Mus musculus: one gene and its partners. The protein of the gene in region 1 interacts with the protein of each later gene in a pairwise test. Links are inferred from orthologs where the notes say so. Each region holds a gene or a part of one and is shown in the gene's direction. Other genes may lie near its edges.

Region 1 (5,249 bases):
GCGGATTTCTGAGTTTGAGGTATGATTTTACACATCCATTTTCCGCCATGACAATAAACTGTTTAGAATCATAGACTGTCTCTTTTCATCAAGATCTGCTGTGGGAGCCATGAAGAAGGCCTTCACCTTCAGAGCCACAACCCACTCCCCCATAGAAGGCTTCTCTGCGCTCCCAGTCACAACCTCCTTCCCTTACCAAGATAAGGACAATAATCCCTGTGAGACTAGCTGGAGTTCCCCTTCTCCCCCAACCCCTGCCCCAGGCTCCAGGCTAGATGCTGTCCCCAGACCTCAGGCCCCTGCTCTTCCAGGACTCCCAGCCGTGCCAGGATTTCCAAGAGTCTGAGAACCCCACAACCCTGGCCTTGTCACAGGCCTGGGACCCCAGAAGGAGCTCTGGCTTTCCCACCCTGGGAGCAATGTCACTTCCTTACAGCCCAGCATCCACCCCAGAGGCAGTATGGGATAAGCCCAGTCAAACTCCCTGCTTCTGTGTCCTGAGTGGCCTGCAATGTGGATGCTGGGAATCCATCTCAGGTGTTCTGGAAAAACATCCATTGCTCTTAAACAGTGGTCTATGTTTCCAGCCCCAGGAATGGATGTTGATAATAGGGACAAAGCTAACAGGGTCCAGAATGCACCACAAGTTGTCCTGAAAACACCCGGCAGACCTTTCATCTAGACCAGGCGTCCTAGTTTGCTTTCTACTGCTGCGGTGCGTGAGCACCACGATCAAAAACAACTTGGGGTGAGCACCATGATCAAAAACAACTTGGGGAGTCTATTTCATCTTGTGATAGATCACAGTCCATCACAGAGAAGAGGCAGGGTAGGGGCTCGAAGGAGGAACTGAAGCTTGCTCAGGGTTTTGTTTTGTTTTTTTTCATACAACCCAGAAGCACCTTCCCAGGGGTGGTCTTGCCCACAGTGGGCTGCCATCCACATCACTCATTAACCAAGAAAATATCCCCACAGGCTTGCCTACTGACAGGGTAACTTTTCAGTTGAGGTTTTCAGATGACTCTGGCTTTTGTCAAGGCAACAAAAAACTAAACAGCACACACAGGGTCTGATGGTCAGTAAGGTGAGAAAGACCTTGCACTTTTTGCCTCTACCTCCCGAGTACTGGTACACTACCCTGCCCAATTCACTAGGCCCTAGGGATTGAATGAGGGCACCCTCAGTCAAACACCGTACCCCTGAGCTACATGCCCAGTCCTTATCATTACATGCATGTGTTTTTAAACAGCAAGGGGTAGGAAAGTGAACATGATAGGGTCTGCATGTGGAATTCAGGGGCCCTCCTTGCACCATGTGGGTCCTGGGGATTCTTCTCAGATCGATCACCGGGATGGGTGGCAAGTGTCTTTACTCTTTTTTGGTTTGGTTTTTTTTTTTTTTTTTTTTTGGCTTTTTCGAGACAGGGTTTCTCTGTGTAGCCCTGGCTGACCTGGCACTCACTTTGTAGACCAGGCTGGCCTCGAACTCAGAAATCTGCCTGCCTCTGCCTCCCAAGTGCTGGGATTAAAGGCGTGCACCACCACGCCCGGCTGTTGGACCCTTAATAATAAAAAAGTTCGAATAGTCCACAGGCATGGACTGAGGCAGGGTGATTGCTTCAAGTCCGAAGCCATCCTGGGCTACATAGCTAAGCAGTAAGTAGAAACTATAATAGTTTGGGAAAACAGCTTGGGTACCTATTAATGCGGGGGGCGGGGGGGGGGGAGGGAATGGAGCGGAAGTGAGGCTGGACCAGACTGCGCATCATTGTGACAGTGGCGGGCGAGCCAGACCCAAAAGAAAGAACTTGGTTCAAAGACTGACAAGAAGAAAAGGATGAACAGGGAGTCCTTCGGTTGAACTCTCTCCTGCTTGGCCCTATTTTGTCAAGCAGAAGGAAAGGATTTTTGTACCGCAGAAGAAAGCTGCCGATAATATCGCGCCATCACCGCTAGCCCCACTAGTGCGCATGCACTCGATCCTCAGGTCCAGCCTATCCTCCCGAGAAGCTCTACGCATGCGCCAGCTCAAGGGTCTTCGTAAGGAGAGACCCGGGCGCCATCCACTCGGAGTGCGCTTGCGTGAGTACAAGAGCCTGAGAGGGCGGGACTTGCAGGAGGCCGGCTCATTTGCATTTCTGGCGGGAAAAGGCGCGTGTGAACACGCCTCTTCCGTGACATTCGCAACCGCCGTTCGTCGCTGGTGTCCCTCAACTGAGTCCCGACTCCAGGTACGCCCTGCCTGTGGCGACTTTCATGGCAGGTTCCCCGGTAACATCACCTGCCAGCTCCTTCAAAAACGCCCCAAGTTTTGAGACAAGGTTTCTCTGTGTAGCCCTGGCTGACCTGGAACTCACTCTGTAGACCAGGCTGGCCTCGAACTCCGAAATCCTCCTGCCTCTGCCTCCCGAGCGCTGGGATTAAAGGCGTGCGCCACCGTGACCGGCTTCCTCAGGAAAATTCTAGTGGCAACTTCGGCAATCCTGTCAGACTCTTGAAACTTCCGGTTGCTTTTTGTTGCTTGTTTTCTATTTTTGTTTGAGACAGACCCTCCAAGTGCTGCCCAGGCTGGCCACGACCTCATGATCCTCATTCCCCAGTTTTAGGATTACAGCTCTCCCAGATGTGCCCAACTGCAATCTTCTAGAACTTTTGAAACCTAACACTTAATCTATTTTGTTTTTGTGGGTAGGGTAGGTGTTTTTGTTTTGAGACAGGGTTTCTTTGTGTAGCATTGACTGTCCTGGAACTCTCTCTGTAGACCAGGCTGGCCTGTGTGCTTCTGGTTCCCACGTGCTGGGATTAAAGGTGTGCACCACCACTGCCTGGCTTTTGTTTGGGTGTTTTTGGTTTTTGTTGTTGTTGGGGTTTTTTGTTTGTTTGTTTGTTTTTGAGTATTTTGCCGGCATGTTTGTATGTGTGTCAGGTATGTGCCTGTGGAGACCAGGTGGTTTTGTATCCCTCTGAACTAAAATTGCAGATGAGGAGGAGTTCACATGTGTGTAGTGGGATTCCAACCCATATCTATCTGGAAGAGTAAACTGTTAGTCCTCTTAACGACTAAGCTACCCTCCAGGGACTCTCTAGGGCTTCAGTAAATTGCCCAGACTCTACTCAAAACCTTGGATCCTGCTGCCTCAGCCTCCTGAGTGCTGGTATCACAGGTGTAGCCCACCACGCCAGCCGCTAGGATCTTCTAGATATCCCATCAGAGTCTCCCTCAAAAACCTGTCAGAGACTTTTCCTCTGAAATCTTGGTGGAGATTTGGTGTTCAAGTCCTATCTGATACTTTAGAAATCTGTAGTTGCCCTACAAGTTCCGCCGGGGACTCTGAAATCTAGTGACACCCCAGAAATGCAGCCCTTGAATTCTAGTCCAGGGATCCCCTCCAGACTTCCTCCATGTTTAAAACCCACAAGACACTCACTGGCCACCTGATATCCCTTGTTCCTCAAGATTTTGTCCGAGTTTCCCCTTGAAAGAGTCTCAGAAAGCCTCTTCTTTCCCTGGTGCCTTCTAAAAGCCTCTGAGATGGACAGCAGGAGGATCCCCACTAGCTGAAGACCAGCCTGCTTTACACAGCTTCAGAAGGCCCACTACAGCTAAAGCTACATAATATATATTTACTAAGTCCCTGTCTCCAAAAGCCAGATAATAATGTCTCCAGAAAACATTCGGCTGCCGGAATACAGGCAAGGCAGAGTGATGGCTGCATTCCCTGAGGAAAGGGAGAGAGGCTGCTTCTCTCCCCTTCGGTGACAAAGATATAGGCTGGATCACTCCAGATTCAAAATAGATTAAGGCGGGCTTACGAGGAGGCATCAACCTCCACCCACCTCACACGTGGAGATCAGTGAAGTCACACATCCAGGCTAAGCTTAGCAAAGGTGTTTTATAAAGCTTAGACGGGGAGTGATAACGTGCCAGCTAGGGGCTGGGATTATGTCCTTACATGGTCAAAAGCTGAGACCCCGGGGGCGGGGGGGGGGGGGGTTGGCACTTATGGGTGGATAGCTGGAAAGTGGAGAGGAGAGGTGTTAGCCCCAAGTTTTGTCCTTGTGGGCAGAGTTGAGGGGAGAAGAGCAAAGGAGGTTTCTTAGCTTTTGCAGGGGATGAGCAGGGGTTCCAAACAAACAAAGGGGAGCCAAGCAGGAGGAAACCCAGGCTCTCTCTACCCTTGGCCCCAGTCCCTAGAGGGACTACTGACAGTGCCTCCTTTTCTCCTGAAAGTGACTGGCCAGTCGGGCGTGGTGGCCAGCACTAGGGAGGCAGAGGCAGGCAGATTGGATTTCTGAGTTCGAGGCCAGCCTGGTCTACAAAGTGAGTTCCAGGACAGCCAGGGCTATACAGAGAAACCCTGTCTCAGGGAAGAAAAAAAAAAGTGACTGGCCAGGCTGTAATAGAGGCAGGACAGCACTGTCAGGGTGCAGAGGAGGGAGTCCCTGTGACCACAGAAGCCTGTGAGAGTCAAGCCCACTCATAAATATAGGCCTTGGGAGTGTCTGTAAAGATGTCTCAGTGGTAAAGAGCACTGAGTTCAATTCCCAGCAACCACATGGTGGCTCACAACCATCTGTAATGGGATCTGATGCCTTCTTCTGTCATGCAGGCATGCATGCAAATAGAGCACTCATATAAATAAATAAACAAACAAACAAATAAATAAATTTTATTTTTAAAAAGGGGGAGCAGCATGGAGATGGCTGGTGGAGGAGAAAAACAACAGAGTTGATTTTCAACAGAGAAGAGCCTAGAGAGAAGGCCCGGTGGTTAAGAGAACTTGCTGTGTGTCAGCGTGAGGGCACATGCCTTTAGTCCCAGCACCCTGAAGCAGGTGGATCTCTTGAGTTCAAGGCTGGTATTCCTGGCAAGTGTTAGGCCAGCCAGATCTCCAGAGAGAGACTCTTTGTTTGGAAAAGAAAAGAATAAGAAGCCACTGAGACACTTACTACTTTTGCAAATGACCAAGTTTTGATTCTCAGATGGCACATGCCAGCTCACAACCTTCTCTCTCCAGTTCCAGGTGCTCTGATGCCCTCTTCTGACCTCCACCACATCACAAAACACATTTAAAAAAAAAAAAAAAAAAGGGTGAGAAGCAGGCCTGGTGATGGCCATGCACATTCTTTTTTTGTTTGTTTGTTTTGTTTTTTGGGGTTGTTTTGTTTTGTTTTGTTTTGTTTTGTTTTTTCGAGACAGGGTTTCTCTGTGTAGCCCTGGCTGTCCTGGAACTCACTCTGTAGACCAGG
Region 2 (4,635 bases), on another chromosome or scaffold:
ACATTTACACACAGTGTACCTGTTTCCCTAAAGAAGCCACAATTGTGTGGAAGATCCTGTGGACTGAATGGCTGGCTAAACTTTCTAACAGTGGTCCAGGAGAATGCTGCATACAAGAACATATATTTGTGTCCCTCCTCCCCCATAGCCCATAGTTGCCACAGTAACCATTTGCTACAAATTCCTGTATCTTCTGGCCTAACATCTTTGTTACTGTTTGGTATGCACTGTTGAAACCTAGCTAGCCAGTAGCTTCCATCAACATTTTTAATCCCCCCAACCCCTTCCCTCAATGGTACTAGGGATTGAACCCAGATCCTCAAGTAAGGTGAATCAGCCTCCTACCGCTAGATCCCTTTGAAATTAAGAATATTTTAACATCTGAAGCCTATGAAATAGACCCACATGCTTGCTCACATCGACTCACCTATTCAATGTCTTATCCCTTTCAACGTACATTGATGTACAACCTTTTCTCTTCAGGCTATAAAAGTTCATATAATATTTCCTATAACAACTGAATGAATAACCCGAACCCATGCTCTGGATTTACAGCTATTAATGTTAAGCAGATGAGCTCTTCCTTTGGATCAGTGGCCTTGAAACCCTATAAATAGGTGCACAGTACATTTTTCAGTCCTGAATTCAAACAGTGGATGTAACCTCAAAATGCAACATTGTTGCAAGCACAATGCAAACAGTTACAGAATGCGGAAATACTTTCAAAGGTGAAAAGGTTCTCTGGTCCATTTTGTGCAACTTCAAGTAGAGAAAACTGTTCTGAAAAAGATCATGTGCCGGTTAAAATGAACAAGGACTAGATTTTGATGTGTAACACCATATGCTTGCCATAAAACTAACCCATGAAATTTATTCTAGATTCGCGGGACGATTTCTTCTTCTAGCTTCCTATGCTGTTAGGGTTTAAAAGACACCCCAGCACACCCCCTCTCCCATTACATATCTGGCCATTTGTGAGGTGAATAAATTGGAGCATCTCGGGGACCATCCAGTCCACGCCGTGACTTTTCTTGTGCCTTTTTTGTATAAGGAACAAGCGGTAGTCTCTCCAAGGGCACGGCCAAAGGAAACATAGGACTTGACCCAAGGCTGAGTTTTGGAAAGGCTCTTCTTCCTGGTACTGAAGGTCTAGCTTCCTCCCACAAGCCACCTAGATGGACCTCCACCAGTTCAGAACCAGGAGGCCACAAGATGCGCCACGCAGAGGGTGAGGGAGGACCGGAACAGGGACAAGGAGCAGCCCGGTCGCAGCAAGGGACAGAGAAGAGCAGCAGCCAGCGTGGGGACCGCCAGCCAGGGCCGCCGCGCGCGGGATCACGGTGAGGGGGCGTGGCTTCCGCCGGCGCGGCCCCGCCCCTTGAGCGCCGGGCGGTCACGTGACGGCCGCGCGCGTCCCCGTCCGCTGCGGGCTCCGAAGCGGAGGAGAAAAGACTGCGAGGTGGCTGCGGCGGCGGCCGAGAGGTGGGCTCCGGGCCGGACCGGTGAGGAGCGCGGGGGGCCGTGGGCTGCGGGCCTCGGCGGGGCACTGCGGCTTCGTTGGCTGCGAGGCGGCGCTCGGAGTCCGCGGCGGGCGGCGGCGGGTCGGGGGCCGGTAGGACGGGGACGCCCTTGGCCAGCGCGGCCCGGACGGGCGCGCGGAGGGAGGCCGAGCTGGCGCAGCCCGGACTGTGACGGGCGCGGCCCCGGCCATTACTGCGCAGGCAGGCCAGGCTGCGGGCAGCTCCAGCGGGCTCGACCGGGCCTCAGTCGGCCACGGGCTGCATGCTATCTTCCGCCTGCCCTGCCGCCGCCGCCGCCGCCGCGGCTGTGCCTCTGGGTCTTGCCCAGTGCCCGGAGTCGTCCCCTCCTCCTCGCGCTGGCGGAAGCCGCCGAGCGTTCTTGTTTTGATGGCTCCCCAAACCCGAAACCAGCCTGAGGTGTCGGGATACCAGTTGGGCCTCCCAAGCCGGGTGCATCTTGAGAGCTCCGGCAGTCGCTTTGTTCTGCTTGCTGGATGTGGAGTTTTCTCCTTAACCCTCCACCCCATCTGAGAGCGCACGGGATCCCCATTGTTGTCACTGTCTTATTTTCTGGACTTTTTTTTTTTTTTTTTTTTAAAGAGAAAGGGCTATGTGACATTGTTTTTGAGGATGTGGAAATGGAACCGTCCTCTATAATTAGGTAAGATGTTTCCCCACTGTAAGTTAGCACACGCATTCTGACAACTACATTTTATCTGTGTATGTGTGTGTGTGTGTGTGTGTGTTCTTTTGCAAACTAGATGTGCACCTGGAGCTTGGGCATTGAAAGGCACGTATTGTCATAGAAGTTGAATGCGTAGAACATAACAATAAATGATCTGTATCATTAGACTTTTAAAGAACATGGCATATTAAAGAACAAATTAAGAAAACGACCCACACATACTAGCAGAGCGTGAAAAGCGTCTGGGAGCTGTAGAAACACTTGAAAATAGGTGAAGTAAATCTCATTTTAGAGAAAACTCAAGAGTAACTGCTACAGTAAAGATGGAGTTTTGGATATGTTTGCTTGGGTCTTGGATATCATAGAGTTTATTTATGTCTTAATTGGGCGTGTGTAATGGGGAAAGAATGAAAACCCTGTTATTAAACGTTTGAAAGTTTCTGTTTTGTGCTGTTTAAGAACTGAGTCGAATTGTAGTCATGGGGAAATGTCCCAAATAACTGTTCATTAGATAACAGGAATGCAAACATAAATGATTTTTTTTTTTTTGTAGGAGACATGCCATTTAGTAAAAGTGCCACTTTGAAACTGTTGGAGGGTTTGTTTTGTTTTATTTTTTGGATCCAACATGATTCCTTGACTTTGAAGAAGAAAATAATAGGAAGAATTTTTCATATCCATCTGTTTAAAACATATTTTCTGTCAGCCATATATGAGTTTGAAGGACTTATCACATTTCCCTATCAGTATGAGAGATGGAAGATCCGAGTCTTTTCTACCTCCTTGCTTGGTTGCCTTCTTGATCACAGAGTCTGAACTTGGGTAACTGCTGGGTGGATTAGAAACAGTCTTTTTGAGCATACACACTGTTTACACTAGTCTACAGCTTCCTTTGCTTCTTTGTATACTCTCATTTACCTTTCTAGTTAGTTAATACAAAGCCTGTTGTTAAAGGCCTGCTAATTAAAATGTTTGGAGTTGTCCAATTACAGAGGCTGGCTAGAGCAAAGTAACAAAAGCATAGGGATAACTTGGCAAAGGTCACTCACCAGTTAATAAGAGGACTTTCTTATTTATAGAATGTCTGCCAGCCTGAAACATCTGTTAGATGAGAATACATGTATTACATATAAATATAAATTGACATTTGTATCTCATGAGTTAATGAAATCAATACAACGCCCACTTTGCAGAGAAGGAATTTAAAGCCTTACACTTAAGTATAAGGACGGAGACAAAAGTAAATAGAGTCACAGGATGGGGCTTCTTAAGGGCAGTCATACACAAGGCAAGAAGATCCCTCAAAAGTATGGAACCCCACTTAACTGAACTGGGTTTTGACAGAACACTTATTTCCAAGCTTAACTTAGACTTTTAAAACTGATTTGATGATGAAGTATAAAAATTGACACATTGTAACAGTTACATACTTGTGAATTTGGGAATCTTTCTTAAGAAGTTTTAAGATGTGTTTGTTAAATCCCATCTGACCCCTACTCATTTTTCTTGTGTTTATAATAGAGACATATGTAAGTAAACAGATACACATAATAAGGTTTGTAGTCCCCCTATTGATATGTTTTCTATATAGTGTATTCTGTTTGAGTAACTCTTATTTCATTACACCTTAACTTTAAATAGGATAAGCAGAAAATGTCCAACTGTATATAATTTGACATTTATATTTTTATTTCTATTGTGATATGTTCATCTTTTTTCTTTGATTCGCCTTTTTTTTTCCTTAAAGAAACAATATTTTATTCAAGTTTATTATCTAGGGACGGTGGATCTTTAAAAAGTTTGGCTGGCTTAAAATTAATCCTAATTGTTTACATTATCAACCCTAATATTTATATTAGGTATTAATGTAGTCAAGTAATTATGATTTAAATTTCTTCAGTGGTTACAATTTTAAAGTAATAAAATATGACTATTTTTCAGTTTTTTTAATGTAGCTGGATTAATGGACTATTAATCCATTTTGTCTCAACTTAGAAAATTCTGTGAGATATAGAAATTGGAAAAGTCACCATAACCTGCAAGGTTTTAGAGAATATATGCACAATGCCCTCACAGAGACATTGTTTCCATCTTGCTTACATTTGTAAAGTTATCCCCAGATAGCTGCAGTCTGCTTTGTTGATGGAATACTTTGATAAAGTTTGTCTATGAGCACCAAAGATTTTTGTATAACTGGAATAAAACAGTTCTAAGGATGGACTGGTCCAAAATGCAGGTGTTCTTAAAGATTTATATGGGTTATTTCGAAACTTCTTTGTTTCTGTTTGCTTTGATATTTAAGTACAAACCAGTTGTAGAGATTAAATATTTATGGACAAGATAGGTAAGTGAATAGGCAGGAACAGTTGTTATTTATTAAAGAGAAGCAGTACGTAAGTAAATGCATGGAAGAAGGAGAACTAAAAATAG
Region 3 (5,188 bases), on another chromosome or scaffold:
GTGTAGACCAGGCTGGTCTTGAACTCAGAAATCCGCCTGCCTCTGCCTCCCAAGTTCTGGGATTAAAGGCATGCGCCACCACTGCCCAGCAATAAAACTATTTTGAATATAATTTTTAGTTACTTTCCCGAATCTTTAGTTCTACAACTACTATTATCTTTTATTAGATTTTGACCTTCTTGACTTAACATGAGAGGGACAATTTAAGGGAATTTATATAACAAAAACAAAGTAGAACTTCCGTGCTTTAACTGCTATACACTATAAATTACTAACCATGTATCTTACAACGTTGAGTTTAAGGATCATTAACCTTAAAAACATAAATTAATCAAAAAGAGAAATTGGTTGGAAATGATTTGTATATGAATTAAAATTCATAAAAACTATTGTTGACTCTCTTAACTCCATGAAACCTACCTATGCATTTATTACCCAGACTTTACTTGGAGCCTTTATCTTTTCACTTACTACAACATCGTTCTAGGAGCTGTCACTGTACCAAGTATAGTACATATGACCAATATATACTACATGTCATACAGTCGGTTCATCTCATGTCATACAGTCGGTTCATCTCCTAGGAGGTAGAGAAGCAAACAAAGGGGACAAGGAAATACTGGATGCTGTGATATAGGCATAAGTTCAGAGATGTGAAAGGGACAGACAAGCACAGTCAGTTCTTTATAACCTGCATTTGCAGTGAGGTTCTGAGACACATTGACGGGAGAAAGACATTTGTGGAGCAGACATTTTTTTAACCTCATACTTCTTTCTATACCCAAATTACACTTTGTCACACATAACAAAAGTCCCCCCCCCCAAAAAAAAACAGACCAAAGTATTTGTTTTTATAAGTAACAAAGTGTGCCTCCTTCTCACAAAGAGTGAAAAAGAAATATTAGGCTTGAAGTATATGTTTAAAGTACACAGGCCATGAATAGTATGCAGAATTGATTTCTAGGTTCCCATAATCATAAAGGCACCGGTAAGCCTTTTGAGTACCACTTAAAAGTCTGTTCGTCTGAAAAAGTGTTCTAATTCACAGCTTGAGGTTTCTGAAGGAGTATTTCTTCCATTCATAACCTGAAATCACTTGAGGCTTTTTTTGTGATTACCCGGGAGAAGCTGAGGGGATGGAAAAAGTTGTTTCCAAGGAAAGGAGGGGGACGAGTCAACAATGAATGGTCCTTCGTCGACGCGTTGGGATGCTTTCAGCTTTTTCTCTGATTAATTTTATTCTGTCTACCAATCAAACGATGTTAGGAGACCAGAGACTAACAAACGGGGCAAGAATTGTCCTCCACCTAACTCTTCTTTTCCTCTTTGCAAATACACCCCTTATTAAAATCCAGCCTAAACTTGAAAACGTCCACATTTCAAAGCTCCAGCTTTCCCTAGGAGCTGTTCCTGACCATGGGGACCTATGTCGCAGAGTGCGGTGGGGCTCCGATGCAGACAGAAAGGTAGTCCTGGGGTTCAAGGGAGGGAAGCGGAGCCTGGCGCAGGGAAAGTTTAAATCACCCGGCGGCGGCGCGCGCTCTGGGATTGAAAAGCGCGGAAGCGCCCAGCAGGTGCGCGCGCACCTGTCGCTCGCCCCGTGCGAGCCTTGAGACCGCACCGGGGCCCGGTTCCGCTAGGGCGCCGCACACGCGGAGCGCCGAGGCCCGCTCCCCGTTTCCCGAAGTCGGCGGCGCGCCCCGCGGGCGTCTGGGTGGCGCGTGTGCTCGGGCGGCCACGGCGCCCCCTGGCGGCGGCCCGCGGCCCCGGCGGAGCGTGGGTCAGTCAGGCGTTCTCCGCGGGCAGCCCGCGGCGGGGCCTTGCCTTATATAGCGCGGGGTCCTCGGCGGCCTGGGTGGCTTCTGCCCGTGCTGCTGTCGTAGACGCGGCCGGCTGTTGAGTGTGGCGGCTGTTGGTTCGCGGCGGCGGCGGCGGCGGCGGGGGGAAGAGGGCGAGGCGACGGGGGAAGGAGGCGGCAGGCGCGGCGGCGACGGCGGGGCCCGGGGCCCGCGGCGGCGGCGGCGGCAGCAGCGAGGGGGGCGAAGATGGCGGACGTGCTCAGCGTCCTGCGACAGTACAACATCCAGAAGAAGGAGATCGTGGTCAAGGGGGATGAAGTGATCTTCGGGGAGTTCTCCTGGCCCAAGAATGTGAAGACCAACTATGTAGTTTGGGGGTGAGTGCGGCGTGGCTGTGGCCTAGTGGTGGCGGGGCAGCATCGGGCGCCCCCGGGCGACCTCTTTCCCTAAAGCCCTCCTCCCTGTCCTCCTCGGAGTCCCTCAGGGATGAGAGGGGGGAGAAAAAAAAATGGGTGCTCTGGGGAAAAAGTTATTCTCTGGAGAAGAAGTTGTACTTTTAGGGCGAGGAGGGAAGAAGTGGAGCGGATTCTAGAGCGGTCAAGTCTTCTCTGTGTTGGAGAAGCCGAAGGGAAAGGTACCATGGGAGTTTCCGACTTGCCAGTTGGCGTGGAGTGTGTACAGGTTGTCCGCGCCGTGTGGGGCTGGTGCACGGCTACCTGGACGGAGGTGTAGAAGGACAGCGATCGATCGCAGCATCTGCCGGCCACCGAGTCGCTTTTTGTTCTTAGGTTTTTTTTTTTTTTGTAATCTCCCAGAGCCTGCCATGTGTTGCAACTGTCTTCTTTGGCTCCTCGAGCGCCTCGGCAATTTTCTTTTTTTTCTTTTTTCATAATAGGGGTAGGTTGATGTTATTCCTCAAGAGGGGTTGGGGGAGAAAAAAAAAAAGGAATAGACAGCTATCACTTAGAGTTAAGGGACGATTAGGAGAGTTTGGAAGTTTGCTGAAACAGTATTGGAGCTGAAAGCAGGACTTTGTTGGGGAGAAAGTTACCGGGGAAATGCAGTGAGACCGGGGGAAAAGCAGTGAGCTTTACATACGGGTCTGAGAAATTGATCCTGTGTGCTCTTCAGGAAGAGCCTTCAAAGGAAAAACAAAACAAAACCATTTGTGATTATTGTTCCATGGATGCCGTGGATGTAAGTCGTTCAGGAAATCACAGAGGGTCAAGTTGAAGAATCCTTTGAGTCCTCTGTAATGATGTTACTACTATTGATGCTTCTCTTTGATTACTAGAATGAGTCAGAATTTTGGTACCCATTTTGTTTGAATAACTTTGAACGATCAATTTAACACGAGAAAATCAATTTAAGATTTCTTTGGACTTACTGATTTCCTTTTTGAAATGTTGATTAAGTGATATTTTGAGTTTCCCATGTTTTACTCTTTCAAATAAATAACACAATTATTTTATTGGGTTTTGTTTGTTTGTTTGTTTGTTTTTTGAGACAGGGTTTCTCTGTGTAGCCCTGGCTGTCCTGGAACTCACTCTGTAGACCAGACTGGCTTCAAACTCAGAAATTCATCTGCCTCTACCTCCCAAGTGCTGGGATTAAAGGCACCACGCCCGGCTTATTTTATTGGGTTTTAATGAATATTTTTTCTTTAACAAACCTAAGGGATAAAGGAAATTTAACTTGAAAAAAAAAAAGCCTAAAACTCTGGTTCCTTCCTTAAACTATTTTGGCTAGAAAAGGTGAAACAGATTAAGTTGATCTGAACTGTTTTGTAGCTGATAAGAAGAGAACAGTTGTTTCCTTGTAGGTGAGGTGCATTATCCAAAGCCTGGAATAAATGAATGAACAGATGAGTAAACTTGAAAGAACAGCCAAGAAGTTGAGTGAAGTAGTGGGATAGCCTTCCAGTGTGGGGGAGCTATAGACTTAAGACATGAGGCCTGGAAAGGACATGGCTTGACAAGCATGTACAAAGGAGTGAAAAAGTAAAACTTAGAAGAAATTTAAAACTTTCAACATTAAATTTTTAGCAGAAGTTATTAACTCTACATGTATGCACGTCTAAATGTATATCGATAAAAGATTAGTCCGTACCCTTAATGTGTTCAGTGCTTTCTATTTTTATGATAATTTGTATAATAACTACTAATGAGTGATTGGACATAATATCAGTTTTGAGCAGTGGTTCTTAACCTGTGAGTTGAGACCCTTCTGGAGGGCGTGGAAAGATCCTTTCCAGGGATCAATCACCTGAGACCATCAGAAAACATAGTTACATTTATAACAGCAGCAAAGTTACAGTTATGAAGTAGCAATGAAAATGATTTTTTAGTTGGAGGTCACAACAGGAGGAATTGTATTAAAGGTTTGTAGCATCAGGAGGGCTGAGGACCACTTGTTTAGAGGAAAAGTGATAATAGAGGCTAGTAAAGGAGATTTAGGACACATTTCAGTGAGCTGTATTTAAATGGATTCATACAGTTGAACCGTCATAAGAAGTTGGAGGAGAAAGGACCTGCTTGCAGAGCAGTCTATGTGTTATCACTAGAGAGCTTGTATCCTCAAGACTACATTGTTGGATCACAGAGTTACATTTTGGCTTTGTTTTAGTGTCAGTTTGAGAGATGTTATAAGGATCATCTCTTTGAAGTACATCCTTTTTTTTTTTTTTTTTTGGTTTTTTTTTTTTTTTGGTTTTTCGAGACAGGGTTTCTCTGTATAGCCCTGGCTGTCCTGGAGCTCACTTTGTAGACCAGGCTGGCCTCGAACTCAGAAATCCGCCTGCCTCTGCCTCCCGAGTGCTGGGATTAAAGGCATGCGCCACCACGCCCGGCGAAGTACATCCTTTTAACTTACAGACTATTGTTGAGGATGTTGTATAGCAGTGTCTTGTTTACAAAGAGTTATACAATGTGCATCTTGTAAGTGCGTCCCTAGTAAAACCTTCATCTGAGTAGTTTGTCTTCTATGGATAATCCTTTCCATTGTGCAGCTGGTTGGATTTCATTTTTTTCTCTGTTGACAGAGTTCAGAACTCAATTTAGGTCTTATTTTAAAATATGTATACAGTGGGGTGGAGGATGTAGCTCACTGAGTTGGTAGAGTGCTTGCCTAGTATATCTGAGTCTCTGCAGTTGATCTCAAGCACCACATACAGTGAGATATGGTGGAGAGTACATGCTGTCCTCTGCTGGGTAGCTGCTTGGAAGCCAGTTGGAATACATGAGACCTTGCCTGTCTAAAAAAAAAAAGAAAAGAAAAATTTTATATATATATATATATATATATATATTATTTTTAATGTATGAATTTATGCACTCTCCCTGTTTTTTTTTTTTACATTTTTTATTTGTCGTCTTCTGCTCCAATGGCAA
Region 4 (5,074 bases), on another chromosome or scaffold:
TGGCAGCCTCGGCTCTGGCAGGGTGCCTCAGCCATATTTCAACTCTAAGATCTTCCAAGTTCAGCTCTAAAGCCACTGGGTTATTTCTTGCTTCTGCTACTGAAGTAGACTTCACCTTTCTCCCCTCCAGCCCAGTCTCCATACAGCAACTAGATATGTTCAGATAGGTAGGTAGGTAGGTAGGTAGGTAGGTAGGTAGGTAGGTAGGTAGAAGAGATCTTACTGTATTGCCTAGGCTGACCTCAAACTCATGCTTCAACTTCCCAAGTGCTGTGATCACAGGCATACACTCCTATGCCCAGTACAGCCATTTGTTTGCCTTAAAAAATAAAAATCAATTTAAAAAAATCTTATGTGTGTTTGGGTATTTGACCTGCGTGTAGGTCTGTATACAGTATGAATGCAGTGCCCACCTAGGCCAGAAGAGGGTGCTAGAGACTCTGGAACTGGAGTTTCAGTGAGTTGTGAGCTGTAGGTGTTGGGAGCCAAACCCCAAAGGGGTGGTGAGATGGATCAGTGGCTAAGAGCGATTGTTCTTGAAAAGGACCTGAGTTGGATTTCCAGAGCCTGCATGGTAGCTCACAACAAGCGCTCCAGTTCCAGGGCATTTGGGGGTTTGACGGCCTCTCCTGACTTCCCCTGGCACCCGACATGCATTCGCTGTATAACACATCCGGCAAGGAGAACACTCTGTGAGTTCAAGGCTACCCACATAGCAAATGCCAGGACATAGTGAGACTCTGTCTCAATAAAACAAACAATCTGGGTCCTTAGCAAAAACAGTAGGTACTCTTAACCACTGTTAATAACTCTCCAGTTATTAATTATTTAATTAATTTATTGGCAAACGTTCAACACAGGCCAGGCTGGCCTCAATGAACTCCTCCTGTTCCTGCCTCCACCTTTCACGTTGAGGAGATTACAAATATTCACAGCCATCTTTGTTCCAGTTAGCCCTCAGGACGCAGGGTCTCAGACTATGGAGAGCATTGCAGGGAGGAAGAGATGCCTCTTTACTGCTTCAGCCTCTGAGTGACGCCTCTCAGCATTGACCACCCTATACTTTTCGTTGTATAACGTCTTTGCTCTGGACCCTAACCCCAAGGTTGTGTGGAGCTTCAGGAAATATAGATGTGCAACAAGCCACTGGGCAAAGATGCCAAGTCTAGTTAGGTATGGTTTAAGACTATAATCACGCCTTGGGAGATTGAAGCAAAAAAGACCGTCAAGAGTTCGAGGCCAGCATGAAGCACATGAAGCCCTGTCTCAAGAATTACAACTTAAGGTCTGGGTCAGCCGTTAAGAGGTCAATAGAACTAGGTTTAAATCCCAGCACTCACAGTATAGCTAGCAAATCTATCCTATGTCCTCTTCCAGCCTCTGCAGGCACAAAAACCACACGTGGTGCATAGACAGACAGACAAAACACCCATACACAAGTAATTATTTTAAATGCTTTAAATGAAGTTAAAAGGGGTTTGCTGGGGGCTTGGTTGCTCGGCATCAGCGGCCTGGGGTTCGGTTCTGCACGATGGGATCTCTGGGCAGGTCAGTGAACCATTTCTAGGGACTGTTAATTCCGCAATCGCTCTACTCTGGCAAAGAACCTCAGAAAGGCCAAGAACGCATGCGCGAAGAAGGAACCACAGAGTCAGTCCTCCCAGGATAGAGAGGCCGGAAGTTCTCCCGGAGCTCCACGCCGTGTAGTGAAAGCCGGGCCGAGGTAGCAGGGAAGGGGTTCGCAGGGTGCTTGGCTGGGTGTGTGAGCAGAGGGTCGGCGTTAGGGGCCTTAGTTCTGTACAATGGCGTCTCGGGCAGGCCCGCGAGCGGCCGGCACCGACGGCAGCGACTTTCAGCACCGGGAGCGCGTCGCCATGCACTACCAGATGAGGTACGAGGTGAGCCAGGCGTACCGAGGCCTTTCCCGGCGGAGCCTGCAGATCCTGGGAAGAAGCGACGCCAGTGGTCCTCACGCTGTCGCCCCCCAGCCAGTTGTCGTGTACCCGCCAGGTCCCCTGCTCTAACGACCTCTGCTCTGTTTCCAGGCCGGGGAAACCCCGTGGCCCACCTTGGTCCGACTTATTCTTTGAGGGGATCCAGCCTGCACAGGCTCGTGGTTCGGTGCTGGCCCCCTGGGTGACCTTGGGAACGCCACTGCCACTTTTCTTTTTCAAGTCTAGATCCCACGGTAGCGTCCAGGCTGATCTCGAACTCACAGCCTTCTCTTTAGTCTCCTGAGTGCTTCTGGCTTTTCAGGGATGCACTTGGCCTGAGAACTCCTTAACATTTTTAAAGATTTTTATTTTTAATTTCGTGTGTGTGTGTGTGTGTGTGTGTATTTGTGCACGTGAGAGCAACTGCTCGCAGAATCCAGTAGAGGGCGTTGGAGCTGGAGTTACACATGGCATTTGGAGTCTACCCGAGGTTGGTGCTGAGAGCCAAGCCCAGAAAGGTGGCAAGCCATGTCTCTAACCACACGTCAGAAGTGATTTTGGAAGCTAGAGTTGTGGTTCATGAACCCAAACCGCCTCCACTGCAGCGAGCCTACTCTCCAGCTCCAACTCGGGTTATTTCCAATTGGAGTCTCAGTTTTCACATTTTTAGAGGGAGAAAATTTCATGATTTTTAGGTTTTGGTGAGGAATTAGCAAGTCGTTTGTGTAAAGGCACAGCATAGGAGTGTGGTGGCTGCTAAACTTGGGGCTGTCTGGATGTGGGTGGTAAAAGGTGACCCTGTCCATCCTGAGGTTTAGGAATACGTCCATATAAGGAGATCTTTCTACGTTCCTTTATTTGTTTGATAAACTCTTACAGGCTATCTATCCATCCTGTCTGTATTGTGTTCTGCACTGAGTCTTTCTTTCCCTCACCTGCCTCTGTCCTTCCTTTAGTGGTTTTTCGAGATGGGGTTTCTCCTTGTAATTCCAGGCTTTCTTGGAACTCACTTTGTAGACCAGGCTGGCATCAAACTCAGAGACCCACCTACCTCTGCCTGATAAGATTAAAGGCGTGTGACACCACCTGTAGACCCTATCTTTATGGAAGATGTCACATGAAGTTTACAAAGAGTTTCAATGCAGTCAAGTCTTTTTTTTTTTTTTCTTCAATTATAAAGTCCTTTTTATTAGTCAAAATCACAATCACCTTGATTAAAAGGGCAGAATATTCCACCCTCAGCAGAAAAACAACACAGTGATAGAAAACCTCCCCAAACCCTCCCACACCCCAATTAAAAACTAGAAAAAATGTCTGCCCTCTGGGCCTGCGATGCCATGGTAGTCTGACTCCTTCAGGGCACTGCCATGGAGTGGGCAGGCCCCCACAGCACCCTCCATTTCACCTTGGGGAAAGGAGGGGTGCTGACGGCCATGGACGTTAGGATAGAGATCCAGTGGGACCAGTCCCCAAGCATGCACTTCCTTCCTTTCCCCCAGGGCCTGGGACCAAAGGGTGCAGTCAAGCCTTAAGCTTATTGTGCACATGGGATTGAATTAGCTATCTGTTGACGGCCAACTCTGACAGTTGTGTTCAGTGATCCAAGGTGGGGATGTGGGGTTGGCAGTGATGTAATACAGGCACACACACTCACACACTTGGTAGATGATGCAATCTCCAACAAGCTCCAACAACTTCACATGTATGCATACACACACATACATTTGGTAGACGAAGCAAAGCTCGAACAGCCCTTTCACCTACAGCTTATGTATCCCAGCCAAATCTTTGAATCACGATGTGGTTACATTCTATTTTTCCTTAAGTGAATGATTACAATGAAGTTTCCCAATACCCTTGCACGATCAAGTGTTTTACATATTATGGGTGAAAAAAAAATTATTCCCAAGAACCCACATGCATTCGTAACTAAGCAACCTGTTATAGATTAACCAAGTGTGAGCAAGCAGTTGTCTCAGCCAGTTTCTCTTCCTGGCAGGCTGCAGTTTGTAATTACAAAGAAAGAGTCAATTATTATTTATCTTAAAAAAATAATCTTATAAAAATCTTAAAAGAATCATAAATCTACAGTTTTATATAAGAAACAATCAGTCATTTCTACTTTAAATCCTCAGGGTGCAGATCTATTCATTAACAAATTTTCTTCCACAAAAAAAAAATTTTTTTTTCTTATTAAATCCTATCAGGAAGCTGAGGGCAAAAATGGGTACAAGAAATTAATCATCTTGATCACCAACCCAGCGTTAGCAAGAGAGGCAGGTCAGCTAGAGCTGGCTGGGTTGTCATTGTTCTTGTTCTCTGACCTTAAAAAACAACCCTCGCTCAATATTTAAAAGTGTACCTTTCTAAGTTGTAACCCAAGATTTTCTAGATCAAAGCCACTAACTAAAACATCTTAACCTAACTTTACTAACAACCTACATCTCCACATTCTTTCTAAGGGTGGTGGACGTCACTCACAGTCTCCATCTCTAAGTCCTTTCTGAGAGTGATGGATGGATCATTAATTTGCTCCAGCAGCAAATTAAAGTGCCTGCTTGAAAAAGATCAATCGCTATTTGTGTCCTGCTAAGGACACTGCCTCGTGAGGGCCTGGAAACCCCCTTAGAGTTTTCATACAACCCATAGATTAGGGGTGACGTGATGACTGAGGACTCGCAGAGAGATGCTGCGTAACAGCATGAAGTCCCCAGGGCACACCTTCCTCAGCCCTCCGCCTCTCGCAGGCACACGCATCCTGGTTGTGCTGACCAGTGGGCCATATTCTATTAGTTCTAAAGCCATTTGTTGTTCATCTTTACACAGGCCTCGATAGTCATCGCCAGGAAAATTTCCACCAAACCATGCTGTGCCTAAATATGCCTAAAAAGACTCCTTGGGGTCAGACTCCTGAAGTTTGAGATATCACCAGATACAGAGTTGTTATCTCATGAAGATTATTAACTCTACTTGGGCGGGGGTGGTGGGGGGTGGGGGGTGGTGGCGAAGAGACCCCCCTCCCCCCCTTGCAATGGCTCAGCTGTAAGAGTACTTGCTGTTCTGTCAGAGGACCTAAATTCAGTTCCTAGCACTCCCATCAGAAGGCTCACAACCATCTGTAACTCCAGGTCCAGGGCTTT

What was found. The genes of interacting proteins can lie anywhere in the genome.
Region 2: the proteins of Kash5 (region 1) and Rnf146 interact in binary tests that used the Homo sapiens proteins (3 or more experiments, as listed by UniProt). The two-hybrid records come from large-scale screens. The link is inferred for Mus musculus from reciprocal best matches to the Homo sapiens genes KASH5 and RNF146.
Region 3: the proteins of Kash5 (region 1) and Cdc73 interact in binary tests that used the Homo sapiens proteins (3 or more experiments, as listed by UniProt). The two-hybrid records come from large-scale screens. The link is inferred for Mus musculus from reciprocal best matches to the Homo sapiens genes KASH5 and CDC73.
Region 4: the proteins of Kash5 (region 1) and Jagn1 interact in binary tests that used the Homo sapiens proteins (3 or more experiments, as listed by UniProt). The two-hybrid records come from large-scale screens. The link is inferred for Mus musculus from reciprocal best matches to the Homo sapiens genes KASH5 and JAGN1.

Annotation. Positions count from the first base shown.
Region 1 is NC_000073.6:45,201,424-45,206,672, reverse strand, and holds the start of Kash5 (protein KASH5), read left to right. Parts: upstream 1-1,780; 5' UTR 1,781-1,969; coding exon 1,970-2,081; exon of another isoform or gene 2,082-2,230; intron 2,231-5,249. UniProt on the Homo sapiens protein: As a component of the LINC (LInker of Nucleoskeleton and Cytoskeleton) complex, involved in the connection between the nuclear lamina and the cytoskeleton.
Region 2 is NC_000076.6:29,358,831-29,363,465, reverse strand, and holds the start of Rnf146 (E3 ubiquitin-protein ligase RNF146), read left to right. Parts: upstream 1-1,762; intron 1,763-1,796; coding exon of another isoform or gene 1,797-2,070; intron 2,071-2,120; 5' UTR 2,121-2,181; intron 2,182-4,635. Other genes in the region: Gm30698 (verprolin-like), read right to left, coding at 957-1,762, 1,797-2,070. UniProt on the Homo sapiens protein: E3 ubiquitin-protein ligase that specifically binds poly-ADP-ribosylated (PARsylated) proteins and mediates their ubiquitination and subsequent degradation. May regulate many important biological processes, such as cell survival and DNA damage response.
Region 3 is NC_000067.6:143,699,482-143,704,669, reverse strand, and holds the start of Cdc73 (parafibromin), read left to right. Parts: upstream 1-1,776; 5' UTR 1,777-2,045; coding exon 2,046-2,176; intron 2,177-5,188.
Region 4 is NC_000072.6:113,440,907-113,445,980, forward strand, and holds the start of Jagn1 (protein jagunal homolog 1), read left to right. Parts: upstream 1-1,662; 5' UTR 1,663-1,802; coding exon 1,803-1,891; coding exon of another isoform or gene 1,892-1,898; intron 1,899-5,074. UniProt on the Homo sapiens protein: Endoplasmic reticulum transmembrane protein involved in vesicle-mediated transport, which is required for neutrophil function.